Linked DNA regions of Saccharomyces cerevisiae S288C. The gene in region 1 interacts genetically with each later gene. Each region holds a gene or a part of one and is shown in the gene's direction. Other genes may lie near its edges. The genes, in order: RPL20B, HAL9 and SPO1.

Region 1 (4,015 bases):
GTTTATCCCCCAAGCTTGTTGCTATGCAACTATTTGTCCTTATAATATGTAGTATAGTAAAACTCTCGTAGTTACTTTCTTGGACATCACTGCTGTCCTGAGATAACATTATATGCTCTATTCCCATTGGTGGGACGATAACTGATTTTATTCATTCCAACCAAAAGATTGTACCGATATGCCATGACAACGAAATCTTGGAATACTTCGAAAAGAAAACACTTTTTTGTTGTCTTTCTGGGTGGGAACTAACGTTTCCATTATTTTTTTAACTGACATTGAAAAGGCAAAGCAACTGTCCTAGATTTTTTTGTTCTACTTAAAAGAGCCAAGGAGACCTAAAAAAGATAGTTATGAATATCCTCAGTATTGTTTACCCCTATACAAAAGTTCTAATCCAATAAATATGTAATGTTAAGTAAAAAGACGGAGAAGAAGCAGTAAAATAAGTCTCTTTCCTCTCCGAAGTAACGAAAAGAAAAGAGCAGAAAAGAAAAAACGCCGGTCTCGCTGCCTATGGTTCTATTTAAAATCATAGCATACAATAGACTTCGTAATGAAGATAACTGGACTTCTTTGCAACGGTGTTCGTCTATGCGGTCGTTAAGACACAAGGACTCAAGAGGGTTTAGTATCCTTTTTTTGTTGGTTCCTGCAGCAGCGTCAGACGCGTTGCTGATTATCGCCGATTGACGCGCGCCACAAAAACGTATCATTGTCATTAATTCATAAATTTTGGAACTATAAATTGCTAAGAAGTGTTCACTTTTTACCTCCTTCTACTACACTTTCGACAAAATTTCTTCCTTTGTTATTTTTGAGAGGCAAGCAACAAGAACATAAAAAATTGTTTTTGCTACATTGGTTTCACATAACATATTTCAACAAACATGCCATCAAATTTGAATATAGTGAAGGTTACAAAACCACAAGAAGAAAATAAGAATTTTTTACACAAAAACACGAATGAACCCAATGAAATGGAACAATCGCAGACACAAGAAGCAGTTACAGAAAATTTTACCGAAAACAGTAATCTCAGTGCAAATGAACATGCAGCTAGGAGGGGTAGATTAAATTTGAAAACAGTTGATCACATAGAAACTTATCCAATAGTGCAAGAAACAGAAGAGATTGCAAAGAAGATTGCTCTAACGAGAATTATTTTAGCACAAACAAAGCCTAGAATCGATAAAGTGGTAGTGTCACGTCCCGTTCAAGCCGTAGCACCAGTGGTCAATTTTTTTGACAAGATGGCCAATTCGACTTTAAGTACAGTAGAGCGCGTTGTCCCTTCTTTGAAAACAAAAACTTATAAAAGATTAGGTGAGGAAATTGCACTTCCGTATACTTTGTCGAAAAAGTATGGAAAGCAGCTCAGGGATACGACAGCAAGAAATGGAGACAACTATGTTTACCAACCTGTCCATGGAAGGTTGATGAAATTTAGGAAGTACTATAATGAAAAATTCATAGACACAAAGGGCAAGCCTTTGATAAGGGGGCAACTTGACCCTGTTTTGTTACCAGTCAATAATACATTCGAAAAGGTAACGGTAAAGTATTTGCCCAAAGGTAAGAAAGTTCCAAATGATTCCTTTTCTTGTGAGTTTAATAGGGGGCTAGCTTTAGAATACAATTTTATGACAAGAGCAGTTTCTGCAGTTAGTCATCAAGTTGTTGGTATTGCAAAGCTTCCCATTGCCTATGGATATCATACAAACTCTGTTTATAATAAAAACTTAGACAAACAGGCCGATTTAAAAATGAAAAATGTATTGAGAGGTACTTGGGATACCATAACTGATTTAGAACGCGAAATTTGGGCCTCTGTCACCGATAGAAGTTTGTTTAGATTTTTTGGCAACAAATCTGAGGGAGGAGATTTACCACATCTAGTACAATAAGTTCGCATAGAAAATAATTTTAATATAGGCGAGAATTTCAATTTGTACCTACTGGCGCAAATTCAATAGGTGTTATCTATTGAAAGCACTGAACTTAAATTTACCAATGTATACACGCTCAACATAAAAAAGAGGTAAAAGAAAATATATTTTTTTGTAAGGAAAGGCTTAATAAATATTTACAAGCTAGATAAAAAAAAAATCAAATAGCAAGCTATTCTGTCATATCTTAAGGTGCTGATTGTTTGTAGGCACGAAGTAAACAAGCTCTTCCCCAAAACAATAAATACGGTTTTCGGGACTGTTCACCCGTACATTTTACGTTTCCGACGGCGCGATGCTATCTTTGAATTTTTATCTCTTTCAGGTAACCCCATGACCAGTAGGGCGGCTTACTACCGAAGAGAAAAATGTCCGCGGCCTAGACAGTTACTTCCCAGGCCAGGGCCAGGCCACACGGACAGAGGCAGATTCCAAGTTGTTCCGCATAGTCTGTCTAGCTCTTTCTCAATTTTCCGCCAGATTCTGTCTAATTTCTTTCCGCTCGAGTTGGCAACAGTACGAAGAAGTAACTCTAATAGATAGATATAACCGTTTTTGAGGGCATTATTTTTGCAGAAGATAATAGAAGAGAACCGTAACAAAGGAATCAAGCAAAGAAAAAGTATGTAATAGAATGTATTGTATGCTTGTGGAATGAATGTCAATGTAGCTATTTTATATGGTGAGCTCAAATTGAATGAACATATCGTGGAAATTTAAAATACTGAAGAATACCCAATAAGTCAATGCAACCTGTGAATGTTTTTCCTGAAATACGCCGAATACTGAATACGATTATTACCATAAATTGCTTCTAGAAGGAAGGCGGTGTACCATTTAATACTGATGATATGGTTAATATCATTTGAGAAGTCTTCACATGAGGACTATAGAACTACCATCCAGGAATTATAGAGGAAATTAACTGAATCAGAGATCTATTTTGAAACATTCATTTACATGTAATTGTCTGCAATAAAGCAATATTTTTGAAATATGCAAGTTTACTAACAAGAATAAATTCTTTTTTGATTTTTATCTTTAACAGTGGCTCATTTCAAAGAATACCAAGTCATTGGTCGTCGTTTACCAACTGAATCCGTTCCAGAACCAAAGTTGTTCAGAATGAGAATTTTTGCTTCAAATGAAGTCATCGCCAAGTCTCGTTACTGGTATTTCTTGCAAAAATTGCACAAGGTTAAGAAGGCTTCTGGTGAAATTGTTTCCATCAACCAAATCAACGAAGCTCACCCAACCAAGGTCAAGAACTTCGGTGTTTGGGTTAGATACGATTCCAGATCTGGTACTCACAACATGTACAAGGAAATCAGAGACGTATCCAGAGTTGCTGCCGTCGAAACCTTATACCAAGACATGGCTGCTAGACACAGAGCTAGATTTAGATCTATTCACATCTTGAAGGTTGCTGAAATTGAAAAGACTGCTGATGTCAAGAGACAATACGTCAAGCAATTCTTGACCAAGGATTTAAAATTCCCATTACCTCACAGAGTCCAAAAATCTACCAAGACTTTCTCTTACAAGAGACCATCAACCTTCTACTAAGCCAACAAGATATTTCTACGTTTTTTAGTATAATAAAATTTTGTATAATTCATTTTGTAGATTCAAGGAAATTTTAAAATATATCCTGTTTCTTCTCTTACATTATGCACTACCAGCGTGAAAGCACAATGTCATGCCATGTATCTTTACAAAATCCAGGGTCCATAGCGGGTAACAAATTATTGGTTTTTCTGCGATAAATATAAAACGTAGCGTAATTATAAAAATCCTGAGCGGTGTTGTCGTAGAGCAGTTGAACATTACGTAAACAGATATCTACGCATTTCTGTCATTTGGATTCATACAGGGTTTACAGACAATATGGGGACCGAAGATGCCATTGCCCTTCCAAATAGCACGCTAGAGCCGCGTACCGAAGCTAAGCAAAGACTATCATCTAAGAGTCATCAAGTCTCGGCGAAAGTAACGATTCCAGCAAAAGAAGAAATTAGTAGTAGCGATGACGATGCACACGTTCCAGTGACAGAAATACATTTGAA
Region 2 (4,416 bases), 750 kb from region 1:
AAAACTCCTGAAATGAAAGCAAAAATGGAACCTAGTCTTTGGTTGGATCTACTATGTAGGGGCCAAGTGCTTGATAACGATATGACTTTAAATACCGTTAGAACACTTTACTGGAAATCTCAGGGTGACATAGTTCTAGAATACAGAAGAAAAGTACATAATTCACCGCTAGTTCATGAGGTCAACGGGAATGAGGGGAAATGATAATGTTTATTTAAATTATATTTTGGGGTCTGAATTTGGAGTTTTTAAGCGTAAATATATAGTAACAATACCAACAATAATACTAATAATACTATAATAGTAGTTGCAGTAACAATGACAAGATAAAGAATATTCTTCTGAAATGTCTAAAGAACGAAGAAAAAAGCAAGTACTCATTGGAATGCTATGTGTAACAACTCATACATACTCTAGAGCTTTATAATAATTACATAGACATTTTTATAATATTATTTATTTATCAAATTTTATATTGAATAGGTACCATCAAGTTATGCACACATTCTTCATTAAAATACAGTCTGTAAATAATTGTGAATATGGGCGACCTGAATGATGTTCTTATTATCTCAAATATTTCTAATTTTTTTTAATCATTTTTGTTTCTTTAAGAGCAATTAATTTACAGAGCGGGGAACAGTGGCCAATTTTTTGAGCTAAAGAACAGCATAACAACAAAACAACAGAAAAAAAACACAGCGAGTCTAGTGCAAGTACGTCGGCAAAGTAAAACACAAAGGAGATGAAATTGCACGGCTTTTTATTTTCCGTATTATCAACATGCGTCGTCATTTTACCAGCGTTGGCCTACAGTGAAGCTGTCACGATGGTCAAGTCGATTGAGCAGTACTTCGATATCTGCAATAGGAATGATTCTTACACAATGATAAAATACTACACTTCTTGGTGCCAACATTGTAAAACTCTGGCCCCAGTATACGAAGAGCTTGGTGAGCTATACGCCAAAAAAGCTAATAAAGATGATACCCCAATTAACTTCCTTGAAGTTAACTGTGAATTCTTCGGGCCAACTTTATGTACCGACTTGCCTGGATTTCCAATAATTGAACTGGTCAAACCTCGTACTAAGCCCTTAGTTCTTCCGAAGCTCGATTGGTCGTCTATGAAATTTCATGAAAGACTATGGCAAAGAATCAAGACGTGGTTCAACAATCCTAAGTACCAACTGGATACGTCTAGGGTTGTTCGTTTTGAAGGGAGTAGGAACCTAAAGAGTTTAAGCAACTTTATCGATACTGTAAGAAGTAAAGATACAGAAGAAAGATTCATAGAACATATTTTCGATGATTCTAGGAATTGCAATGAAGAATTACGTTCTCAACAGCTTCTGTGTAAAGCTGGTAAAGAATACTACTCTGATACTTTATCTAAATTATACGGTGACGTGAATGGGCTGGAAAAGGAAAGGCGAAGACTAGAAGCTTTAATTAAGCAAAATGGAGATGACTTGAGTAAAGAAGTTAAAGAAAAACTGAAAATCATTCGTCTACAATTGAGCCTATTATCACACATAGAAGACCAGTTAGAAGATACCAGTAGTCATGACGAGCTTTGAACATAAGCTTCGCTCTGTCTTTTACTTTACGAATACCGACTACAGACGGAAGCGGGACCCTCACCCTGAGGTACAACAAATACACAGATACATATATATTTAACAATGTACGTTAGCCGCAATATAAGTGAGATTGTGTAGGTGAAAGATTATGGAGATATACATAAATATTACAGAAGGTCTACCACATGTGTTTTGAATATTGGCTTGTGCTAAGGTAACACTGTTATTTTATTCATTAGAGAAACATCTCTTACCCTGTTTGGTTTTGGTATAATCTCCAATTACGTACATGAAAGATGGCTTTATATAAAAAGCCTTTAATTCGAAAAAAGAATAAATGTCTTAGGGAGCTTATTATCGTACTTTAATTCAACTTAGGAAATCAGCACTCTCCACTCCAAATCTTCGGTTTGAAATAATGGAAAATCAAGGTGGAGATTACAGCCCAAATGGGTTTTCAAACTCAGCAAGCAATATGAATGCGGTTTTTAACAATGAAATCACCGGTAGAAGTGACATTTCAAATGTAAACCATCAAACTGGTACCCCACGTCTGGTTCCTGAAACTCAAATATGGTCGATGCCTGTGCCAGATCAACTGATGACGATGCCTAACAGAGAAAACACCCTTATGACAGGTAGTACAATAGGTCCAAATATCCCCATGAATGTGGCTTATCCCAATACAATATACTCGCCAACAGAGCATCAGTCGCAATTTCAGACACAACAGAACCGTGACATCAGCACGATGATGGAACACACTAACAGTAATGATATGAGCGGCTCTGGTAAAAATCTCAAGAAACGTGTATCAAAGGCCTGTGACCATTGCCGAAAAAGAAAAATCAGATGTGATGAAGTGGACCAGCAGACCAAAAAATGTTCAAACTGTATTAAGTTTCAGTTGCCTTGCACTTTCAAACATCGTGATGAGATTCTTAAGAAGAAAAGAAAATTAGAAATCAAACATCATGCAACACCAGGGGAATCACTTCAAACCTCAAATAGTATTAGCAATCCTGTAGCGTCTTCTTCAGTACCGAACAGTGGAAGGTTTGAACTTTTAAACGGTAATTCCCCCTTAGAAAGCAATATCATCGATAAAGTCTCCAATATTCAAAATAATCTTAACAAAAAAATGAATTCAAAGATTGAAAAATTGGATAGAAAAATGTCTTACATTATTGACAGTGTGGCTAGACTTGAGTGGTTATTGGACAAGGCTGTTAAAAAGCAGGAAGGCAAATACAAGGAAAAGAACAATTTGCCCAAACCAGCGAGAAAAATATACTCTACGGCACTTTTAACTGCTCAAAAACTCTATTGGTTCAAACAAAGTTTAGGAGTGAAAGCGTCCAATGAGGAGTTTCTTTCTCCAATCAGCGAAATATTAAGCATATCTTTAAAATGGTATGCAACTCAAATGAAAAAATTTATGGATTTGTCATCTCCGGCTTTCTTCTCCAGCGAAATAATATTATACTCATTACCTCCGAAAAAGCAAGCAAAGAGACTTCTTGAGAATTTTCATGCTACCTTATTATCCTCTGTAACTGGTATAATATCGTTAAAAGAATGTCTAGACTTAGCAGAAAAGTACTACAGCGAAAGCGGCGAAAAACTCACATATCCTGAACATTTATTATTAAACGTGTGTCTCTGCTCGGGTGCATCTGCCACTCAATCAATTATAAGAGGTGATTCAAAGTTTCTAAGGAAAGATAGATATGATCCAACCTCCCAAGAGTTAAAAAAAATCGAAAACGTTGCCTTACTAAATGCCATGTATTATTATCATAAGCTGTCCACCATCTGTTCAGGTACAAGAACACTACAAGCTTTATTACTACTGAACCGATATTTTCAACTTACCTACGATACTGAACTAGCAAATTGTATTTTAGGAACCGCGATTAGATTGGCGGTTGACATGGAATTAAATAGAAAATCCTCTTACAAGTCACTAGACTTTGAAGAAGCCATAAGGAGAAGAAGAATGTGGTGGCATTGTTTTTGTACAGATAAACTATATTCTTTAATGTTATCCAGACCCCCTATTGTGGGGGAACGCGATATGGATATGCTAACAGATCAAAATTATTATGAAGTGATAAAAACTAATATTCTACCTGATCTTATTGATAAAAAGGAAGATCTCGATAAAATTACTGATGTCAACTCTGCATTGAATGTAGTTGTAAATTTTTGTCAGCACATATCCCTTTTCATATCATATTATGTTTCAAAATTGGTTAGTATTGAGAGTAAAATATACTCTACTTGTTTTGCTGTCAGAAGTACTCTAGATCTTTCATTCGATGCCATGCTTGATAAAATCAAAGATCTCAATGATTCTTTGAACAATTGGAGAGACAACTTGCACGTAAGTATGAAACTAAAAAGTTATAAACAGTATTTATCGGTACTTTACGCTCAAAAATCCCAAGAAAATCCGGCTTTAAGTTTTGAGATTGCATGCTCTCGTGTTTTGAATTGTCATTTTAGGGCGCTATATTCTAAAGTGATTTTGAGCATGATGACTACATCCTTATTGATTGATAACGAACGCCTATACAAAGGTTCTCGCCATGATATTCCTCAGCTATTCATTCTTTTTTCAAGTCAATACTTAAACGCCAGTAAAGAAATGTTACAGCTGTTTCAAGGCATCAATTACCAGGCGCATATGTATAACGAGGTTATGTATCAGTTCTCTACTGCTATGTTTGTTCTCTTCTTTTACGTTGTGGATAATATGAACGATCTAAAAAAGAAAGGTGAGGTAAAAGAGATCATCGATATCCTAAAAAAATCTTATGATCGATTAGTGG
Region 3 (4,416 bases), on another chromosome or scaffold:
AGAAAACTGCAAAGGAAATACTAGACGATTTCAGGAAAAGGGCAGTAGATAATATTCCAGTTGGACCGAATTTCCAAGACGAAGAGGATGAGGGTGAAGATTTGTGTAATTGTGAATTTTCCTTGGCATATGGTGCCAAAATATTACTAAACAAGACTCAATTGAGGTTGAAGCGAGGTAGGAGATATGGTCTATGTGGTCCTAATGGTGCCGGAAAATCCACTCTAATGCGATCCATTGCTAATGGCCAAGTTGACGGGTTCCCCACTCAGGATGAATGTCGCACTGTTTATGTGGAACACGATATCGATAATACACATTCGGACATGTCCGTTTTAGATTTTGTATATTCCGGCAATGTAGGAACTAAGGATGTTATTACCTCGAAATTAAAGGAGTTTGGGTTCAGCGATGAAATGATAGAAATGCCAATTGCATCCCTATCTGGAGGTTGGAAAATGAAATTAGCTTTGGCGAGGGCTGTTCTGAAGGACGCTGACATTCTACTATTGGATGAACCAACAAATCATCTAGACACTGTTAATGTGGAGTGGCTGGTAAATTATTTGAATACTTGCGGAATTACATCGGTGATTGTCTCTCATGATTCTGGTTTTCTGGATAAGGTTTGTCAATACATCATACATTATGAGGGTCTTAAATTAAGAAAGTACAAGGGTAATTTATCAGAATTTGTTCAAAAATGTCCTACGGCACAATCATACTATGAATTAGGTGCCTCTGACCTTGAATTTCAATTCCCAACTCCTGGTTATCTAGAAGGTGTCAAAACGAAGCAAAAGGCAATTGTTAAAGTAAGTAATATGACTTTTCAATATCCAGGGACAACTAAACCACAAGTCTCAGATGTTACTTTCCAGTGTTCTCTATCCTCAAGGATTGCAGTTATCGGACCTAATGGGGCTGGTAAGTCCACTTTAATTAATGTTCTTACTGGTGAACTGTTACCAACCAGCGGTGAAGTATATACACACGAGAATTGTCGTATAGCGTATATTAAGCAGCACGCTTTTGCACACATTGAATCGCACTTAGACAAAACTCCATCCGAATACATTCAATGGAGGTTCCAAACTGGTGAGGATAGGGAAACAATGGATAGAGCAAATAGGCAAATAAATGAAAATGACGCAGAGGCCATGAATAAAATATTTAAAATTGAAGGGACCCCAAGAAGGGTTGCAGGAATCCATTCAAGAAGGAAATTTAAAAACACGTATGAGTACGAATGTTCGTTTTTGTTAGGTGAGAACATTGGTATGAAATCTGAAAGATGGGTTCCAATGATGTCTGTCGACAATGCTTGGCTACCAAGGGGCGAATTGATTGAATCCCATTCTAAAATGGTTGCTGAAATTGATATGAAGGAAGCTTTGGCTTCTGGTCAATTCAGGGCTTTAACAAGAAAAGAGATTGAATTACATTGCGCCATGTTGGGGTTGGATTCAGAATTAGTCTCACATTCAAGAATTAGAGGTTTATCGGGTGGGCAAAAGGTTAAATTGGTACTCGCTGCCTGCACGTGGCAAAGACCCCATTTGATTGTTTTAGATGAACCTACGAATTACTTGGACAGAGATTCATTGGGTGCTCTTTCAAAAGCATTAAAAGCTTTTGAAGGTGGTGTCATTATTATTACGCATTCGGCAGAATTTACTAAGAATCTGACTGACGAAGTTTGGGCGGTTAAGGATGGGAAAATGACACCCTCTGGCCATAATTGGGTTGCAGGACAAGGTGCTGGCCCAAGAATTGAGAAAAAAGAAGAAGAGGGTGATAAATTTGATGCTATGGGTAACAAGATTAATAGTGGGAAGAAAAAAAGCAAACTCTCTTCTGCAGAATTGAGAAAGAAAAAGAAGGAGAGAATGAAGAAGAAAAAAGAGATGGGTGATGAATACGTTTCTTCTGATGAAGATTTTTAATTTGAAGTCGAGTACATCTCTTTCAGTGAGTAACTTATATATTTTTGAAGTTAACATCCTTATTCTTTTTTTATATTTTTATTTTTTTTATGTTTATTTTCTATTACTGATTTTCACAAAGAAAGGTAAAAAAAAACATACTTCAGCGGCTATACAACCATATTTAAGTAAATGCACTCAGAGAAAGTATACAAGTAAAAAACCTAAGTAAAGACATAAATATCCCAAAATAATGCAAAAACTCCTCTTTGTCTTTTCTGTGTTATTGACAGTAGTACTAGCAACAGCACCATTTCAGGTACAATGTCCTAGCTCTCCACTTATTAGGGAGGCCAAAGTAAGTTAAACTCTTTGCCACTTTAACAAATATGGGCCAAAACTAACCGAATATACCAAAACTTCGTATTCCTTTGTTTATTAGCATGAACTCTGTCCAGAAGAAACCTTGTATCTGAAGAAAAAAAAAATTAAAACGAAGAATAAACTGATTCAGTTTTTAAAATCCTTGACAGAGGCAAAGTTTAGTTCGAAGTTTTATAAACGCGTGTTGAAAGATCCTCCAAAAATTGGGATTGCTATATCTGGCGGCGGGTACAGATCCATGTTAGTAGGTACCGGATTTATTTCCCAAATGAACGATTATGGCCTTTTTGAATATTCGGATTATATTGCTGGATTATCAGGCGGAAGTTGGATCTTGATGGATTTGGTAGTTCAAAATTTTGAAGTAAAATCCCTGCTACAAGAGTGGGACCTTGAAGAGGATCTTTTATTAGGCATACCGGAATTCGATATTTCCGAAGAAGAAATTGTTACCAATGCAAAAAAGGAGTATAATGATAATGATTTGAAGATGAAGAAGCGTCAGGGGGGTTCTCTGATTACAAGCTCTTCAAATTTTTATGAACAAATAGAGGAGATCATGAATTCCATAGAAGAAATCCCAGAAGACTATATGATAACGAAGAGAAACTTGAATCCATTAGCAAGACTAAAAAAAATATTCTTTCCTAACAACACTTTCACTGGAACTGATGCGAAGATTGAAACCTTTAAAAAAGTGCTAGACTTTTACAAAAGTTTGCATTTGAAAATTAAGCCTAAAAAAATGGAGGGTTTCCAAATATCGTTCACCGATTATTGGGGTAAAGCAATCGTTCAAAGACTAAAAAAAAATTTCGATGACGATCCCAACCATTCCTTTTCGTTTTCGAAGCTTGTAAACTCGTCTAAAAAATTTAAGGAATGCAGTGTGCCGATCCCAATATTCGTTGCAAATTGCAAAAATGGACTTCTTTCAAACGTTATATTTGAATTTACGCCCTTTGAATTTGGATCTTGGGAAAATATCCTCAGACTTTTCGTCAAGTTGCCCTATTTGGGCTCAAAAATTGTTTCTGGAAAGGCCGAGAAGTGTATTAATAACTTTGATGATCTAGGTTTTATTACTGCGACGTCTTCTTCAATATTCAACAATGTGCTCATCTTCATCTGGAATTTGGCTTCTCAGTCCTCCAGAGAAGCAATGAAAGCTTTGAATATGGTTATGGGAATTTTTGGCCTAGGTAAAGAGGAAATATTTAGTATTTCGAAAGACTCCTCGAGATTAGAGACAGACTATGCCGTATATCAACCCAATCCCTTTTATCTTTATCCTGAAAAAGACAATGTCCTAACTAACAAAAATCATTTATACCTTGTAGACGGCGGAGAAGACGGCGAGAATATTCCACTCAGAACATTGGTGATTCCTGAAAGGGAACTAGATGTAATTTTTGTTCTGGATTCTAGTTCGGATATTGACAACTATCCAAACGGCTCCAAGTTAAAAAGGATATTCGAAAAATTAGATGAAGAGAACGTTCATTACCAATTTCCGAACAATGTAAAAACATTCACTCACCCCATTGTTATAGGATGCAATGCTACCAAAAGAACTGGACATGATTCATTTTTGCCAATTATAATTTATCATGCCAATGCGAATCATGGAAACGCATCTAATACGTCGACATTCAAAATAACTTACAATCAGTCTGAAGTTAGCAGTATGTTACCCACTGGAAGGGGAGTGTTTAGCAATGATTATGACCTTTATTATAAAAATTGCTTAGGCTGTATATTAACCAAAAGAACAATGGACAGGCTCCCAAGAAAAAAGAAATTTTCGCCATTTTGCTTACAATGCTTTAAAGACTACTGTTACTCATAAGAGAGTAGACTTTTTCTGTGAAATTTAATGAGTTTTTGTTCACCTTTTTTACTTTTCTTCTATGCCATATGGTTAAATAAAACATGGTTCAAACGCGATTCTTTTTTATTATCTATGTCTTTATTATGTAGTCTTCACTATAATAACCGTTAATGAGCGACATAGTTGCATCAGTTTTTAAGGCCAATTTGATTCAGAACCTTTTCAAGTTCTTCACTTTCCATCTTATCCGAAGACGCGATCTGGTGGCATCTAATA

The links.
Region 2: mutations in RPL20B (region 1) and HAL9 together harm fitness more than expected from each alone (negative genetic interaction), as found in Saccharomyces cerevisiae (one large-scale study listed by BioGRID).
Region 3: mutations in RPL20B (region 1) and SPO1 together harm fitness more than expected from each alone (negative genetic interaction), as found in Saccharomyces cerevisiae (one large-scale study listed by BioGRID).

The regions. Positions count from the first base shown.
Region 1 is NC_001147.6:899,750-903,764, reverse strand, and holds RPL20B (60S ribosomal protein eL20 RPL20B), read left to right. Parts: upstream 1-2,570; coding exon 2,571-2,571; intron 2,572-2,997; coding exon 2,998-3,515; downstream 3,516-4,015. Other genes in the region: YOR314W (uncharacterized protein), read right to left, coding at 393-722; SPS4 (Sps4p), read left to right, coding at 891-1,907; DGK1 (diacylglycerol kinase), read left to right, coding at 3,837-4,015.
Region 2 is NC_001147.6:151,075-155,490, reverse strand, and holds the start of HAL9 (Hal9p), read left to right. Parts: upstream 1-2,000; coding exon 2,001-4,416. Other genes in the region: DUF1 (Duf1p), read left to right, coding at 1-204; protein disulfide isomerase MPD2, read left to right, coding at 746-1,579. UniProt on the Saccharomyces cerevisiae protein: Putative transcription factor involved in halotolerance.
Region 3 is NC_001146.8:607,508-611,923, forward strand, and holds SPO1 (putative carboxylic ester hydrolase), read left to right. Parts: upstream 1-2,178; coding exon 2,179-2,283; intron 2,284-2,367; coding exon 2,368-4,158; downstream 4,159-4,416. Other genes in the region: HEF3 (translation elongation factor EF-3), read left to right, coding at 1-1,946; YNL011C (uncharacterized protein), read right to left, coding at 4,329-4,416. UniProt on the Saccharomyces cerevisiae protein: Regulates spindle pole duplication in meiosis I, but not in mitosis. Required for meiosis I, meiosis II chromosome segregation and spore formation. Binds phosphatidylinositol (4)P mono- and polyphosphates.